Saccharomyces cerevisiae S288C: one gene and its partner. The gene in region 1 interacts genetically with each later gene. Each region holds a gene or a part of one and is shown on either strand. Other genes may lie near its edges.

Evidence for each region. Genes that interact genetically often act in the same process or in processes that back each other up.
Region 2: mutations in NAB6 (region 1) and GAS1 are lethal when combined (synthetic lethality), as found in Saccharomyces cerevisiae (4 studies listed by BioGRID, with this or other methods).

What each region holds. Positions count from the first base shown.
Region 1 is NC_001145.3:30,262-40,332, reverse strand, and holds NAB6 (Nab6p), read right to left. Parts: upstream 6,091-10,071; coding exon 2,686-6,090; downstream 1-2,685. Other genes in the region: VAN1 (Van1p), read left to right, coding at 1-146; ATR1 (borate transporter), read right to left, coding at 509-2,137; NGL3 (3'-5' poly(A) RNA exonuclease), read right to left, coding at 6,482-7,999; YML119W (uncharacterized protein), read right to left, coding at 8,649-9,722. UniProt on the Saccharomyces cerevisiae protein: RNA-binding protein that associates with mRNAs encoding cell wall proteins.
Region 2 is NC_001145.3:885,462-891,294, reverse strand, and holds GAS1 (1,3-beta-glucanosyltransferase GAS1), read right to left. Parts: upstream 4,293-5,833; coding exon 2,613-4,292; downstream 1-2,612. Other genes in the region: importin PSE1, read left to right, coding at 1-2,343; FKS3 (putative 1,3-beta-D-glucan synthase), read right to left, coding at 4,779-5,833.

The DNA.
Region 1 (10,071 bases):
AAGCATTTGGTAAAATGGCAAAGAAAATGGGGTACAGGGTTGGTGGTTTACCGCATTATACTATTTGGCATATTTATGAACCGAGCGATGACGATTTGAAGGAAATTGCGTCAAGGGAAAGAGAGAAGAGAAGACAATCAGAGTAAGAATCATGATGACATTTAATATTAATTTAATTTAATTTAATTTTTTGTTTTGTTTTATTTCGTTTTGTTTTTTTGTTCGGTATTGATTTTTCTTCTTTTAATCCTCTTCAATGGATTGAAAAATATATATTATGTAGAGTAAATAAAAGACCTCTTAAGGATAAGGGGTAACCTGGGATCTGGTTACAGTTCAAGGCTTCGTTATTAGGGAGCGAACAATAAAGATTAAAGGGTACTAAAAATTGTACTATTACTAGTTGCATGTTGAGATATGAAGACTTTCAGTGTCTAAATGCCCCATGTCTATATAATCGCATGACAGCGGTGTATTTCTATCTATTTACCTTAATAACCGCTTTCCGCTAAGCCACAGTGCAATCGTATTCTGCAGCAGCTCTTGCCCTGCGGCCTTTTATGAAGCTTTCGACCATGTAAAGCCCGCTAATCATGCATGCTAAACTTGCCAATCCTATCCCAAGGTACTGAGCACCTCTATAGCCTTTCAAAAGATGCTTTCCGTCTGAATTGACCTGTGTCTCTACTGTGGCACCCATACCGAGACACAAGGACATGGAGTAATTGACAACAGTATTCACCAATGACCCAGCCATGCCTTGGTACTCCATCGGTAAATTATCACTAAAGATAATGGAAGAAGCAGGAAATGAAAGATCCATCCCAAAACTTAAAATTATCATCGTTCCTAACTGAGTACGAAAGTATGTCTCGTGAACCGGTGTAACACTTGCCATTATTGAGCCCACATTGAATGCTACCATAGAAAAGAACAAAAACACTGATGGAGACACATTCTTGATAGTAAATCCTACCAGTAAGGCGGCAATAATACCCCAAATTAAAAACATAAAGTAAGTTCCACCAGCCCATAATGCCGTGTACTGCCTTATATTTAATTGAAATTGGAAATAATAAAACGTAAAGATGCCAAAAGAGCCCCATCCAAAGAATAAAGCCAGCATAATTTGAATCATATGACGATCCTTTATAACTGCGCGCGGCAATAGTGGAGTCTTGGCAAATCGAATCTCATAAATGATGAAAACGACAAGAAAAATCACAGAAATGATTAAAATTACGATGATGTAAGCCTGGTTCCAACCCGATATAGGAGCTTGGTTCCACACAAAATTTAATAAAATGAGACCTATCACGCCCAAAACAGAACCAATCCAATCCATAGAAAAATGATGAATATTTGTTGGTATAGTACTCGGAATGGCATATATGGAGAGCACAAAATTAATGAAAGCGGCTATGCTATACGCGTAGAATGCCCATGGCCATTGTTTTGGGTCCTCGGTACCGATCAGTCCTGCAAAAAGACAACCTAAAGTTGCTCCAATAGGGGCCATCGCACCAACAAAACTAATCACGATGTTTTTACGAAAAGTACCACCTACATATATATTACCAATTATTCCCAGCACATTAGGTAAAACAAATGCAATCCCTAGCCCTTGGAAGGCTCTACTAATAATAAAAAAAGTATCGCTACCAGAATACTTGGTAATCCCACAAATCAAAGACCATATAATAACCAGAACATATCCTACTAACAACATTTTTTTTAATCCGTATATGTCACCTAGTCTGCCACTAATCAAAATAAATGAGCCTGAAACTAGCGGAAAAGATGCCATCAGCCATGACTTTGAGTTTCCTTCTGAGCCAAAACTGTCCGAAAGAATATTCATGATCGAAAGAGTCTGTGTAGTGCCTGCTTGATTTAGAAGCTGACTTATCATGCATGTGAATATAAAAAGATATTCTTGCCATGCATATTTAAAATAGTTTGGGTTCTGCCATTTCTGATTGCTATCTACCATTTCATCTTCAGACTGCGTAAAAGCTGTTGCTGTTAAAGATTCTCCGATATTATTATCTCGTGACGATTTTTTAACAGGTAGTTCTGTCTCATTCTCATACTCACCCTTACTTTCCGTAAGCACAACTAATGACTGATTGCCCATTATTATTACCTGTTTGAGATTCTCTAATTGCCTCTCTTTTTACAATCGTACACTTTGAAAATGTTGTTTTAAACTTAGAATATGCATTTTATTCATTTTATAAAAACGTCTCATTCTTCAGACGTTTATAAACAACTGTAATAGTGTCAACTTTTATATAAAGGTCATCTTACCTGAAAAGTGTAAGTTCTGAAGGTAGAGAAGAGGTCAAGGCAGACAGGATCCTGCGGCTTGACGTCGTCGCTAACGAAACGAAGTAGAAAAAAATTAACAGGTTTGAGTCAGAGAAAATTATCGTTCCACATTGGTGACTCGGTCATTAAGACAACAAGTGCCGGCAATAAATCGCTTACGTAATCTGTGGCAGAATGAACAGGTTAGGTGCATAATACCGCCATTCCATTAGTAATCACTATATTATTTAGTTTATACAAAGAAATCGGAGAAAAAAAGGGAGAAACACCTTGGCAGGCCGCCTTAGGCTTCCTTGGGCTTTGTCTAAATAGTCCGATGGATATGCATTATACTTCAGGCTCAGCACAGCTATACTACTCGTCAGGATGCGTGTTGTCTTCCGCAGAGGCGCCCAAAATATTGGCTGCATACATAAATGTCGAATGTTGCACTTGTGCAAGGTATTGGGCCATGACGTCAGATCCTGGTATCGTTCTATGCCTTGCAAAAGATCCTCTCTTCTTCTTTCTGTTATTTGCTGTTTCGCCATTTGTGAAAATATCTTGCATTGGCGTTTCGTTGTTCTTCGAGTGATTATATGACAAAGTTGAGGGAGCTCTTGGAGGAGCTTGTCTTAATGACGACCTATAATTGAGCTGTGACATTCCTACGGCTTCTTCCTCGTCTTCTATCTTTACTGGTCTCTTACTATTAATGACGGTCTGACTCGAGCTTCTTAGAGTTTGTGATTTTAAAGCGTATTCAGGATCGCTCGGGGAGTGCATAATGACCTCGACGTCTGATGACGAGTCGGAAGATCCCGATGACTTGTTAAATATATCTTCATAATCAGTTTCATCCGATGTCGCACGTTTGACGTCAGAGCTCGCCACAGCGAGACCCAGTCCACCGAAACTTCCAGTCTCATTACCGTTTTCATTTTCAGCCTCTAGTTCACTTTCATTTTCATGCCCAGTATTATTTGCAGTTCCTGTTTCACCACCGCCGTTGTCCTTATGTGCGTCCAGACTAATTCCTAGGGATTCCAAGTTCAAGGGTTTATCAAAAGCCTTTTCCTTTTCATCGATTTCATTCTGCCTCCTCTTTTCTTCCAACTTACTCAAACGTATATTATAGCTCGGTCTTTTAACTTTCTTATAGAATCTTGAATTTTTACCTGCTATCAAATTTTTGTTTATATTGCCACAACGATCTTTGCCGTAGTTTATCAGAAGGCCCTTATAACGGCCACCGAATTTTTCCTCAGTCGCCCTTTTAAGCGTCACTTCACCGGATTCATTTTGTACTGTGGATTCCTTATTCATTTCTTCAACAAGACTAATCGCAGAAGATATATTCATGAAATTTATCCAACAGCAATGGCTATCACTCAAATAGTTAATCTGCTCAATATCACCATAGGTACTAAAGTCCTCTCTTAGTTGTTCCGCATCTGGTAAAGATAGTGTTTCATGCAATTTTTTGTACTGAGGGTCGTGAATAAACTTTTCCTTAAATGCAAACTCTGGTAGGCTTACGTAGACATTCCTACTTGCCCCGATCGTAACAGCCAACGAGATTAATTTCGGTAATGGACCAGAATAATGCCCCCATCCAACTCTCAACATATTCCCATGTAACACTATTGGATCAATAAATGAATTTGCATAGAACTGTACAGCGGATGGAGCTTCGATGAAAGTAACAAAGCATATCTTCTTCTCCGGTATGTACTTAATGCTCTGAAGGATTCCTCCACGCACGACATTACAGATATCCTCCGCCTTTGATCTTGGATTAATGTTTCCTATATAAATTGTTCTATTGCCTATGTCTGAACCCATGGATGATGCCACTTTGGCCGAAACGTTGAAATTTTGCTCCAAACTTTGAGTTATTGGATTCGGCAACACCCTTTGATTCATTTGCAAATTGGGGGATACCGGAGAAGGTGTGGCTATTAACTGTTGAGGTATTATCGCTCCATTGGACTGATTAGAATCATTCATAAACATATGTTCATTTAATGGCAAAGGTGATGGGATATCTTGAGAAAATTGCCTAGAGTTTTCTGTTGTCTTTGAAATTTTGACATTGCTCAAGTGAGTAGAGTGTTCTTCAATAGTTGGTGTTTGATAGTCGCGATAGTTGATTTCTAAATAAGTCCCATCAAGTTCTACCCCTTGAAGTTTCGTCGCAAGCATATCAATCTCTTCATTTAAAGATACAGATGATGACAGACTGGTTAAACTCATATTAGAGTGACCGTATACGGAAACACCAATACTACTATTATTATTGAGTGTGGTGATACCACTCATATTACTTTTATTATTGTTTCCGTTGTTGTTGCTATCGTTATTGTTCCCAGCAGTAACAGAAGGCACCGATAAACGATGTGTGCTCGTTTTACCCTCGTAAATATTAGCAACCGAAGATCTGGCTGAGCTAACTACCAACGGGGCTAGGGATACGTAAAAACATTTAGAAATGCCTAAGTTTTTGGAGTATTTTTTCAAATAATCGAGAACTTCAATAGCCATAGAGATATTCAAAAAGGTTAAAACGGCGTAATTTTCAGGAAATTGATTGGAAGGTACATCTGTGTTCACTAAATCGATAGATTCCAAAATGTATCTTTTGTTTTTTGACCTGTCCAAAAATTGTAATTTCTTTTTGAATAAATCGCTTTTCTCCACGGGGCTTTTGAATTCAATTATAATCGACCTTGTAGCATCTTTGTTCGCTATATTATGATGCAGCGAAGCACTGATCATTGTTGAACCATTGGTAATGTCGGCTTCTTCAGCGTTTTCTGTTAACGCTTCACTCTCAATAAAGGTAGGGAGGCATTTGGGATCATAGTTTAGACAAACAAATTTCAGATTTAGTGCTTCAGATTTCAAAAATGTTTTGAATTCAGATAACCTTTGTAAAATGTTATTGTAAAAGTTCAAACAGTCGCCTTTGGTTAGAAAGCTTATTAGAATGGATAGATTTTTAGTCTCTACATCTTTTGAATCATCGCTCTTCCCTCCTTCAATTAAGTAGGCACTTTCCAGAGTATTGGATTTGACAAAATTTTTGACTATAGAGTGTAAATCAATAGAATGATCCACATTTTCAATAAGCAGCGACCTAGTTCTATAAGCATCATCACCAGTCGGTAGAACCTTGTAATTAATACAAAAGGGTCTTTGTAAAAGCATTTCTGGAAGTATGTCGTCGAAAATGTTATTCCTTGCGAATGTTCTTCTTCCACTGTTGTTCCGGGTGTCGCACCCCTTATTGTTGTTGTGAGTAACATTCCTCGTACTGTTGTTGTTCCTCGAGAAAGAATTTCTCCCCATTCTATAATAGTTCGAGGGTGTTACCATTCCGTTATTAGTATTGTTTTGGTTACTGTTACTGTTTCCGTTGTAACCGTTATGATTAGAAACGGGCCTCGAATAAGCCTTTCTTTTGAGATTAGATGATCTTGCAGAATTATAGCCACTTTGCATGTTAGGCGAGGAAACAAATGGAGATCCCATCAATAGGTGAGATGGAAAAAGACTGGCACCGTATGCAGTATCAAAAGGTGTTGGTGGAATATTAGGTAATGGTGAGTTGGTGTAATATGCTGGGTGTTGAGAAGGACCATATTGGCCGGCACCGTTTACGAAATCAACAGGATGATACATCATTGGATTTCCCACCATGGCGTTCATCCCATTATAATCTTGCTGTTGACGGTATGCGTAATTCGCAACAGGTTTTTTTGAATTGGAATTTGACATATTGGAATCCTCAAAAAAAACAATAGAAAACGGATTCTTGCGAGTCTTGTTCGAGCCGATCAAAAACCCCTTCCTTGATAATATAAACGAACGACGTGAATGAGCCAACTACACCTCTTCAGTCTTTGGGATATCTTCTCTGGATGCTTTTCACGTAACCTGAAACAAGGAAAAAGGGCAGGTTTGTTGTGGTGTTTCTATGCTTGATTTTATTTTTTTTTTTTTAGCCCGTTGAGGCGCAACGAAAGGGGAAGGGTGACCAAAAATAGCACGTAAAAGCTGTGAATAAGGTGAAAGTGACGCTAAATTGAAAGAAAAATCCCAGTGACCATCGAAGCGTTGATTACTGTCTTTCAAACACAAATGTAGGTTGTTTATATATATTGTTTCTTTATTTTAAGCTATGCACTTTCTCCCCCCCAAAAAACAAGCGTATTTGGCACATTAGGGAAATGTGATCACTAGCATATTCTCCCTCGAAAGGTTGGGAGTGTTTGGGCATTTCTTGTGCGCACGGCATCCTCAGATATCCGATTATTTTTACGTTGTTATTTCCTTCAAAAGCATTCAGAGGCTCTTTCTGACGCGTGTCCTGATTATGATCACCCTCGATATAAAATATGTAGTCTAATAATCCACACCATGTATTGGCCCAGTTTGAGAGTCCCGGTTCGCCGTGGCTTCCGTTAGCATTTTCAGGATGCACTTTACCGTAGCCAATCCCATACAAAGATACGCCTTTCACATGTAGTGAATTATGCAACGCAACTAATTGATTTACCAGAGCCTTTTCTTCCTTTGTGGCTGTAAAGCTCTCTGGTTTTGGGTTTTGTGGTTGATCTGAATGGCCTTCGCCCCTAGACTTTTCATCACACTCTTCATCATCCTGGTCACTTTCTTCTCCATTCCTTTTTTTTGAATACCGATACGCTAGTGAGCATTCCACCATAGCTCTTATTGGGCCTTTTAATATCAGTGGTCTTTTCGTTATGGCCAAGTACGGTGGCTCTTCAGGTTCGGTATTGAAATCACCCATCAGTAGGCTATGCCAGCCATTATATTTGGAACATGCTTTAATTTCCTGGATCTTTTGTAAAACCAAGTAAGATTGCCTTAATCTTTCAAATACCCCAAAGGGATGCCAAAATAGGTGTGTATTTGCGACGATAATTCCTCTTGATGATGAATCTGTTATACCCTTGAAATATAGCGATATAATAAGGGCAATATTTTTAGTTCTTGTTCTTGCTGAAATGACATTTCCCGCCAATATATTATCGTAGTCCAGCATCCAATCATTATCTAACTGGAATTTTTTATTGTTCCATGCAACTAGTAGTCCATGAGTTTTCCCTTCATGCCTTTTGAAAATCACATCAAACCCTAACTTATGGAAATTCTCCTGCCAGAAGTTGAGTTCATTGTAATCGACCTCCTGCAACGATACTACATCAGGCCTGTACTTTTTCAATTCGTGGACCAAAACTTTTGATCTCTTATGCCACTTTAACGCTGGTCCACTTTCTGGGAAAAAATCTCTCCTAATCAAGGTTTGTGCTAGAGTATTATAGGTCATTATTTTAACGTCCAATGAATCTTGGGTGACTTGTATGGTCGCTGGCGTAAGACCTTTCGAATTATCATGGTTGATAGGGAGGAATGGTCTTTCAATGAATTGTAAGTCAGGCGTTGGGAAGTCAGGGTCCTTCCCTTGGGATATTAGAGAGTTCCTACGTACCTGTCTCTTCTGAGCACGTTCTTCTCTGATTTTCTTGATTTGATCCACACTTAATTGGTCTCTGTGTATTTTTTGATGTGCTGGGCCATCTTCACTAGGTGAAACGAGGCCTGAGGTGGAGGAGGACTCCTTCTGTGAGGGGGATATTTTGCCTTCTACTTGGCTATCCATATTGAAATTAATGTAGGAGACAAAACAAAAGAAAAAACTGTTTAATGCTGTAAATATTAAATTTTCAGTGAGCTAACTCCACGATAGTAAGTAGTCTGCTTCAACCATGTGTTAGTTTGGTATAACTATTGTGATTGAATATTGGTATTATAGGTCATCCTTTTTTTCTGTGCAACGAAGGGGTGGCTGAGCATTTTATATATAATGTCGGGAGAGGAATGCAGGACTTTTAACATATCAAATGAATAGTATCTGAGTTGTTCACATATTTGGTACGTATATTATTTATTATTCTGCAACTTGTTTACTGCATGATAATATTGAAATAAAGTGAAGAGAAGACGGCACAGAGAAATTACAATGGCGCAAACGTAAGGCAAAAATGGCACAACGAATTCTGAATTCGATTGCTGGATCACTTTTCAAAGATATTGTGTTCGGTTGTGACAAAGGCATCATTAAAATAATTATATGTCTTTTGTCATAAATTTAGATCGTTAATAGGCTTTTTTTTGTATTTTTAATTCACATGTTAAATGTTTCGTTTTGGCAACTAATAATAAACTACATTAAGTAAAATGCAAAACTTCAAAGTGCGGAAAAATGTATTGGTATATAAATACTATAGACAGAATACAGAGAATCCGTATCATTTCAAAGGTTCATTACTTAGTATCTCCGCAGGGAGGATTCTGTTGTTCGCACTTCTCTGCTGAAAGCTATCCTCCTCCTCATCTTCCTCATCTTCATCTGAAATGGCGATGCTAAAAGAATCTACCATTCGAAATATATCAGATCTATCCATTGCCTTTCCATCAAAACTCAATTCAAAGCTTTCGTTGGCATTTGTGGAAACACTGGCCCCGGCTCTCTGCTTCGCATTGGAATTAGGGAGATTCTTTACGGGCTTGCTGTTACCTTGCAGCTGCTTTTGTTGCCGTAACGTTGATGTCAGCTGCACTCCGCATAATTCGTCTAGTGATTTTGAGATCCGTGTCTTACTATTTGTGGACAATTGAATAGGTTGCAAGAAGTGATAGTTTTTCTCAAACTTCAACGAAATTAGCAGGATTATGATTTTTTTGGATATATCGTCTATCGTTTCGTGCACTGGAGATGGTAATTTATATGTGGTAACGACGGACCTAGGTAAGATGCACTTCTTGATGTTGAAATTTGTTTTTGATTTCGTGGGAGAATTCGTCAACTTAGGTGCCACACTAGTGCTACTTCTTGTACCATACAAATCAATTGGCTTGGTAAAATACCGTTTCTTTGTACACGTTCTGGAAGGAAAAATAATTTCATTTATGCTGCTCACTTCCTTCGTTTGATTGAATTTAAGAGATTTAGAATTTAAATGCGACACCGACTGATGATGCGGATGGGAATTTACATTGGTGTTTGCAGCGCCCATGGTATTTGTATATCTAGATGGCCTGTTATTATTACTGCTACCGCCCCCGGTATAATGGTCTTCATTAACTCCTTTATTAACCTGCGAAATACTGTTAAACCTTGGTCTCAGGTTTTTTGTGGGTGACTCTGGATAATAGAAAAACTGCTGGTTGGAATCGAAAGTCGCTTTTTGTTGGAAGCTCAGGACTGGCTGCTGATTCAAATTAAACTGCGTAGGAGGCAGGACCAGCCCACCGCTGTTATTGATGTAAGATGATTTGTTATTGAGCGTCCTTCTTGGCGACACTGATGGACTTGGGCTCATTGCTACCTACTTTTTTTCTTACTGACCTAAGGCTGCAGGTGCAAGAAAAGAGTAAAAGAATGTTAAAATACGTTTTGAAAGGTCTCTGTTTTCATGTACAATTGAGGGATAAAAAAATCTTTTCTTTCTTTCAATGCGGATGATTGACACTTTCTTATTTTGTGTTTTTATTTATGTTCTTTCCTAATCTGGAAAGCATATTAAAGACCGGCGCTACCCGGTTAAGTAATCATACACGTGAAAAGCACGTGAACAACAAAGCACTTTAAAACTCATATACTACGCATTTAAAGAATGCTAAAACGGCAATTGCCACTGGGCACCATTTAAAAGGTCAATAATGAATCTG
Region 2 (5,833 bases), 850 kb from region 1:
TTAGTGATGGTTACTTTAATCATGATGACGGAGGTATCCATAGATGATGATGATGCAGCAGAATGGATAGAATCTGACGATACCGATGATGAAGAGGAAGTTACATATGACCACGCTCGTCAAGCTCTTGATCGTGTTGCTTTAAAGCTGGGTGGTGAATATTTGGCTGCACCATTGTTCCAATATTTACAGCAAATGATCACATCAACCGAATGGAGAGAAAGATTCGCGGCCATGATGGCACTTTCCTCTGCAGCTGAGGGTTGTGCTGATGTTCTGATCGGCGAGATCCCAAAAATCCTGGATATGGTAATTCCCCTCATCAACGATCCTCATCCAAGAGTACAGTATGGATGTTGTAATGTTTTGGGTCAAATATCTACTGATTTTTCACCATTCATTCAAAGAACTGCACACGATAGAATTTTGCCGGCTTTAATATCTAAACTAACGTCAGAATGCACCTCAAGAGTTCAAACGCACGCCGCAGCGGCTCTGGTTAACTTTTCTGAATTCGCTTCGAAGGATATTCTTGAGCCTTACTTGGATAGTCTATTGACAAATTTATTAGTTTTATTACAAAGCAACAAACTTTACGTACAGGAACAGGCCCTAACAACCATTGCATTTATTGCTGAAGCTGCAAAGAATAAATTTATCAAGTATTACGATACTCTAATGCCATTATTATTAAATGTTTTGAAGGTTAACAATAAAGATAATAGTGTTTTGAAAGGTAAATGTATGGAATGTGCAACTCTGATTGGTTTTGCCGTTGGTAAGGAAAAATTTCATGAGCACTCTCAAGAGCTGATTTCTATATTGGTCGCTTTACAAAACTCAGATATCGATGAAGATGATGCGCTCAGATCATACTTAGAACAAAGTTGGAGCAGGATTTGCCGAATTCTGGGTGATGATTTTGTTCCGTTGTTACCGATTGTTATACCACCCCTGCTAATTACTGCCAAAGCAACGCAAGACGTCGGTTTAATTGAAGAAGAAGAAGCAGCAAATTTCCAACAATATCCAGATTGGGATGTTGTTCAAGTTCAGGGAAAACACATTGCTATTCACACATCCGTCCTTGACGATAAAGTATCAGCAATGGAGCTATTACAAAGCTATGCGACACTTTTAAGAGGCCAATTTGCTGTATATGTTAAAGAAGTAATGGAAGAAATAGCTCTACCATCGCTTGACTTTTACCTACATGACGGTGTTCGTGCTGCAGGAGCAACTTTAATTCCTATTCTATTATCTTGTTTACTTGCAGCCACCGGTACTCAAAACGAGGAATTGGTATTGTTGTGGCATAAAGCTTCGTCTAAACTAATCGGAGGCTTAATGTCAGAACCAATGCCAGAAATCACGCAAGTTTATCACAACTCGTTAGTGAATGGTATTAAAGTCATGGGTGACAATTGCTTAAGCGAAGACCAATTAGCGGCATTTACTAAGGGTGTCTCCGCCAACTTAACTGACACTTACGAAAGGATGCAGGATCGCCATGGTGATGGTGATGAATATAATGAAAATATTGATGAAGAGGAAGACTTTACTGACGAAGATCTTCTCGATGAAATCAACAAGTCTATCGCGGCCGTTTTGAAAACCACAAATGGTCATTATCTAAAGAATTTGGAGAATATATGGCCTATGATAAACACATTCCTTTTAGATAATGAACCAATTTTAGTCATTTTTGCATTAGTAGTGATTGGTGACTTGATTCAATATGGTGGCGAACAAACTGCTAGCATGAAGAACGCATTTATTCCAAAGGTTACCGAGTGCTTGATTTCTCCTGACGCTCGTATTCGCCAAGCTGCTTCTTATATAATCGGTGTTTGTGCCCAATACGCTCCATCTACATATGCTGACGTTTGCATACCGACTTTAGATACACTTGTTCAGATTGTCGATTTTCCAGGCTCCAAACTGGAAGAAAATCGTTCTTCAACAGAGAATGCCAGTGCAGCCATCGCCAAAATTCTTTATGCATACAATTCCAACATTCCTAACGTAGACACGTACACGGCTAATTGGTTCAAAACGTTACCAACAATAACTGACAAAGAAGCTGCCTCATTCAACTATCAATTTTTGAGTCAATTGATTGAAAATAATTCGCCAATTGTGTGTGCTCAATCTAATATCTCCGCTGTAGTTGATTCAGTCATACAAGCCTTGAATGAGAGAAGTTTGACCGAAAGGGAAGGCCAAACGGTGATAAGTTCAGTTAAAAAGTTGTTGGGATTTTTGCCTTCTAGTGATGCTATGGCAATTTTCAATAGATATCCAGCTGATATTATGGAGAAAGTACATAAATGGTTTGCATAAAGACGTTTAATAGAAAGAAGAACAATGTTAAGTAGTTCTATAAGGAATATTAAATGAATATTGTCTTTTTTGATGATTTAAAAACATATAATGTAACAATAGTGTTCTTTTTAATTTACCGGTGGTAATAGCGAATAGAATCTTATAAAACTTACATAGAAAAAAAATATATACTATACTTACAACTTTTCATTTTTTTCGTAAAAACTACCCCACAATGAAATAAGATACCATACCTTATCGAGTTATTATGTATGTGTCGAAGCTTTTTAAACCAAAGCAAAACCGACACCAGCGGCAATGGATAAGGAAATGATGGAGGTAAAGACCACTTGTGCTAAGTTAGCTTTAACGTTGGTGGCAGCATTCTTCTTGCTAGAAGATGAAGATGAAGCTGAAGAAGAAGAAGAAGAACTGGAAGAACCAGAAGAGCCGGAGTTAGACTTGGAAGAAGACCCCGAAGCGTTAGAAGAGGCAGTACTGGATTCAGTTCCGGAACCCAAATCAACACTACCTGATGCAGAGTTGGTACCCATACTACCAATCTCTTTCAAAGCGGAGGAGCAACTAGCTTGCGTGGTGGCAGTTTGTAGAGTGGCAGAACCGCTGAAGCTACAGTCAGATTTGCTACCACCACTCTTCTCGTAGTACAAATTCATAACGAAAGATAGCTGTTCCTTTGGTGTACAGAAAGAGTAAGCACCATACTTACCGGCGGTACCGTTTGCTGAAATACCGCTACAGTCGACTTCATTACAGATCCAGTTAAATAAGGTTTCGTAATCATCAGAATCAACGTCATCGGAAACAACACAACTATTGGCTGCATTCATACATGAACACAAGCCTCCGTTTGGAGTTGGTGGTAATTCTGTTGCAGCGGACCAGTACTTACCAGTAGCTGGACAAGCAACATCACTTGTTGTTGCACTGTAAGACTTTGTGTTGGCGGAAGTTGGTGATATTTTGTTGATTTCAGAAGAATAGTTGTTGAAGTCATCCAAAGTTTTAACATCATTACCATCGATGCTAACTAAACCGTATTTGTTAGTCTCTTCGAAGTACATGTATACGATACCACCAGACCAGACATCTGTCATATTAGAACCGTACAAGGCTTCAACCTCAGTAAATAGTCTTGGTGTTACTTCGTTACAACCGTATTCAGAGAAGAAAACAGGAATAGATAAGTTTTTGAATTCTGCAGTTCTATCAGCATAACCAGAAGTTTTGAAGTCAGATTTACCACACCATTCATACATATTAATACCGTAAAAATCAGCCTTAACATCATCATCACCACAAGCGAAATAATCAGTCATCTTAACTCTGGTATCTTCGTCATCATTGGAAGAGTAGCCAACTGGAATTTTTCTGTAGTTCTTGTCGCTGATGTATTGTCTGACGTCTCTAATAGCTGCCTTCACGAAAGCAGATGCATCTGTGTTGGTGTAATTGTTAGTAACTTCATTACCGGCGAAGAAACCCAAAACGTTGGTGTAATTAGCAAAAGTGTCAACAACGGTTTTGTAGCTGTTGAACAAGTCAACAGTCCAAGTTGGATCGTCTCTATTGATAGAGGTGGCTGGAGCTGCTAAATCAGCGATGACATAGATGTCAGCATCATTCAAAGCCTTCATACATTCGGAGTGATCTAGAGTGGTATTGATAGCGTAGACACGGATAACATTTGTGTTCAATTTTTTGAGGTATGGAATATCTCTGGAACAACTCTCATAATTGGCCAAAGGATCGTTGACAGTAGATCCGCTAGTTTCATTAGCGGTATCAGCCTGATAAGCAACACCTCTTATGTAGAACTGACTACCGTTGTTGGAGTAGAAAAACTTATTACCAACAACTTCAATCGCTGGAACATCGTCCGCAGTTGCGACGCCAGCAAAAAAAGCAGCAGCGGTTGCTAACTTTGAAAGGGATTTAAACAACATTGTTGAGATTTAGCTGTGTTTGTTGTTTTTGTTTTATCAGACTTTAAAAATAAAAACTGATTTTGAAATAGCTTAATAAAACGACACAACTATTTATGGATATCTAATTTGTTCGAGGAAAACAACCACGACTTTTCCTCTTAAATAAAAAAATCCGTGTCAACAGTAGTAGAGGGAAAAGTTTTTCAAACCTCGAGGATTATCGGGTATTTTACTAATAAACCGCGCAGGCTGTATGAGGAATACCAAAAGTAGAAATTTCTCATTATTTTCCCGACTTTTCTTTTTCCCATCTCCACGTTTGCGGCACGAAAACTCAGTGTAAAATAAGAAGCAAACAAAACGCGAGCCGCGAAAATATATCGAACTAAAAGTACGCAAAAGAATAGCCAGGGCTGGCCTGTGAATTCATAAAAAGTCTGAGCCGGCTATGATAGGCACCAGCTCGCTTTATCAGCTACTCAAAATAACTTTTTTTTTTTATCCCTATGCGACAGTCCTAAAGGTAGGTAAAGTTGGTGTTGTAGTCAGGATTGTCGATGGAGCATTTGGACCAGTATCGTTGTTGTTTTGGTTGTTAGGTTGGAAGATTCCTTCGAAAAGGGTGCCTTCCAGCAATTCTTGCGGACTAGATACGAAATCACCAGCAAAGAATGGCGCGATGAGCATAAAAAGGAGCACACCTAGCATCACAAAATATAGAGAGAAATATTTTGAAACTATCCTACTTCTTAATGCTCTCTGCTTTCGAGTCAAAATTCTTTTATGCGCGATAATACTTCTTGGATTCATCCAAAATAGCACCATTGTATGCCAGTAATCGATAAATGGTAACAATATTATGGGCGTTTGTATAAATAAGAGGAAGTGACCAAGAAAGAAATCTGCTGCAAAATAACTAGATTCCATAATCTTCACGAAGTATTCTCGTATGGGCTGTAAAATGATAGACCAGCCCATGCCCGTATTGTACCATTTACCATTCCACCATGCCAAATGTGCCTTATTGTTTTTATACTCCCTTGTCAAGAATATCGTCGTAAAGACCTTGAAAAGAATCAGATGCATATTGATGCACGTAATAAGCAGTATCAATGTACGGGTAAAGTTCCAACCTTGTAAGAACCACATCAGTTCGAAATCTAAAAGATAGACCAAAACCGAGAAAGTGTGTGCAATAAACGCAATCACGGCACCTGCGTCTTTACAACAATATGACAATCCAGGAACCACAAAAAGTGAAACCCAAAATAATAGAAAAAGCACTATTGAGTTAAGAAAGATTGGCAAAAAAGTTACGAGCAACAAACGGAAAACAGCGCTAGTTGGTGTTGAGTCAGAGACCCCTGTTTGTGCATTAATGAAAGAAAAAGCGGTGAAGTTGAAGAGGAACACACAGAAAGGTAGAAATAGTTCTGCAAAGAAGACGTTCCAAAACCTCGCTTTCTTTGAATCATGGCCTGAATCTTCGGAAATATCATCTACAGTTTTACTTTTATAGCCCGTAAATCTTGATCGAGAACTCTTGACAAAGTTTGCCC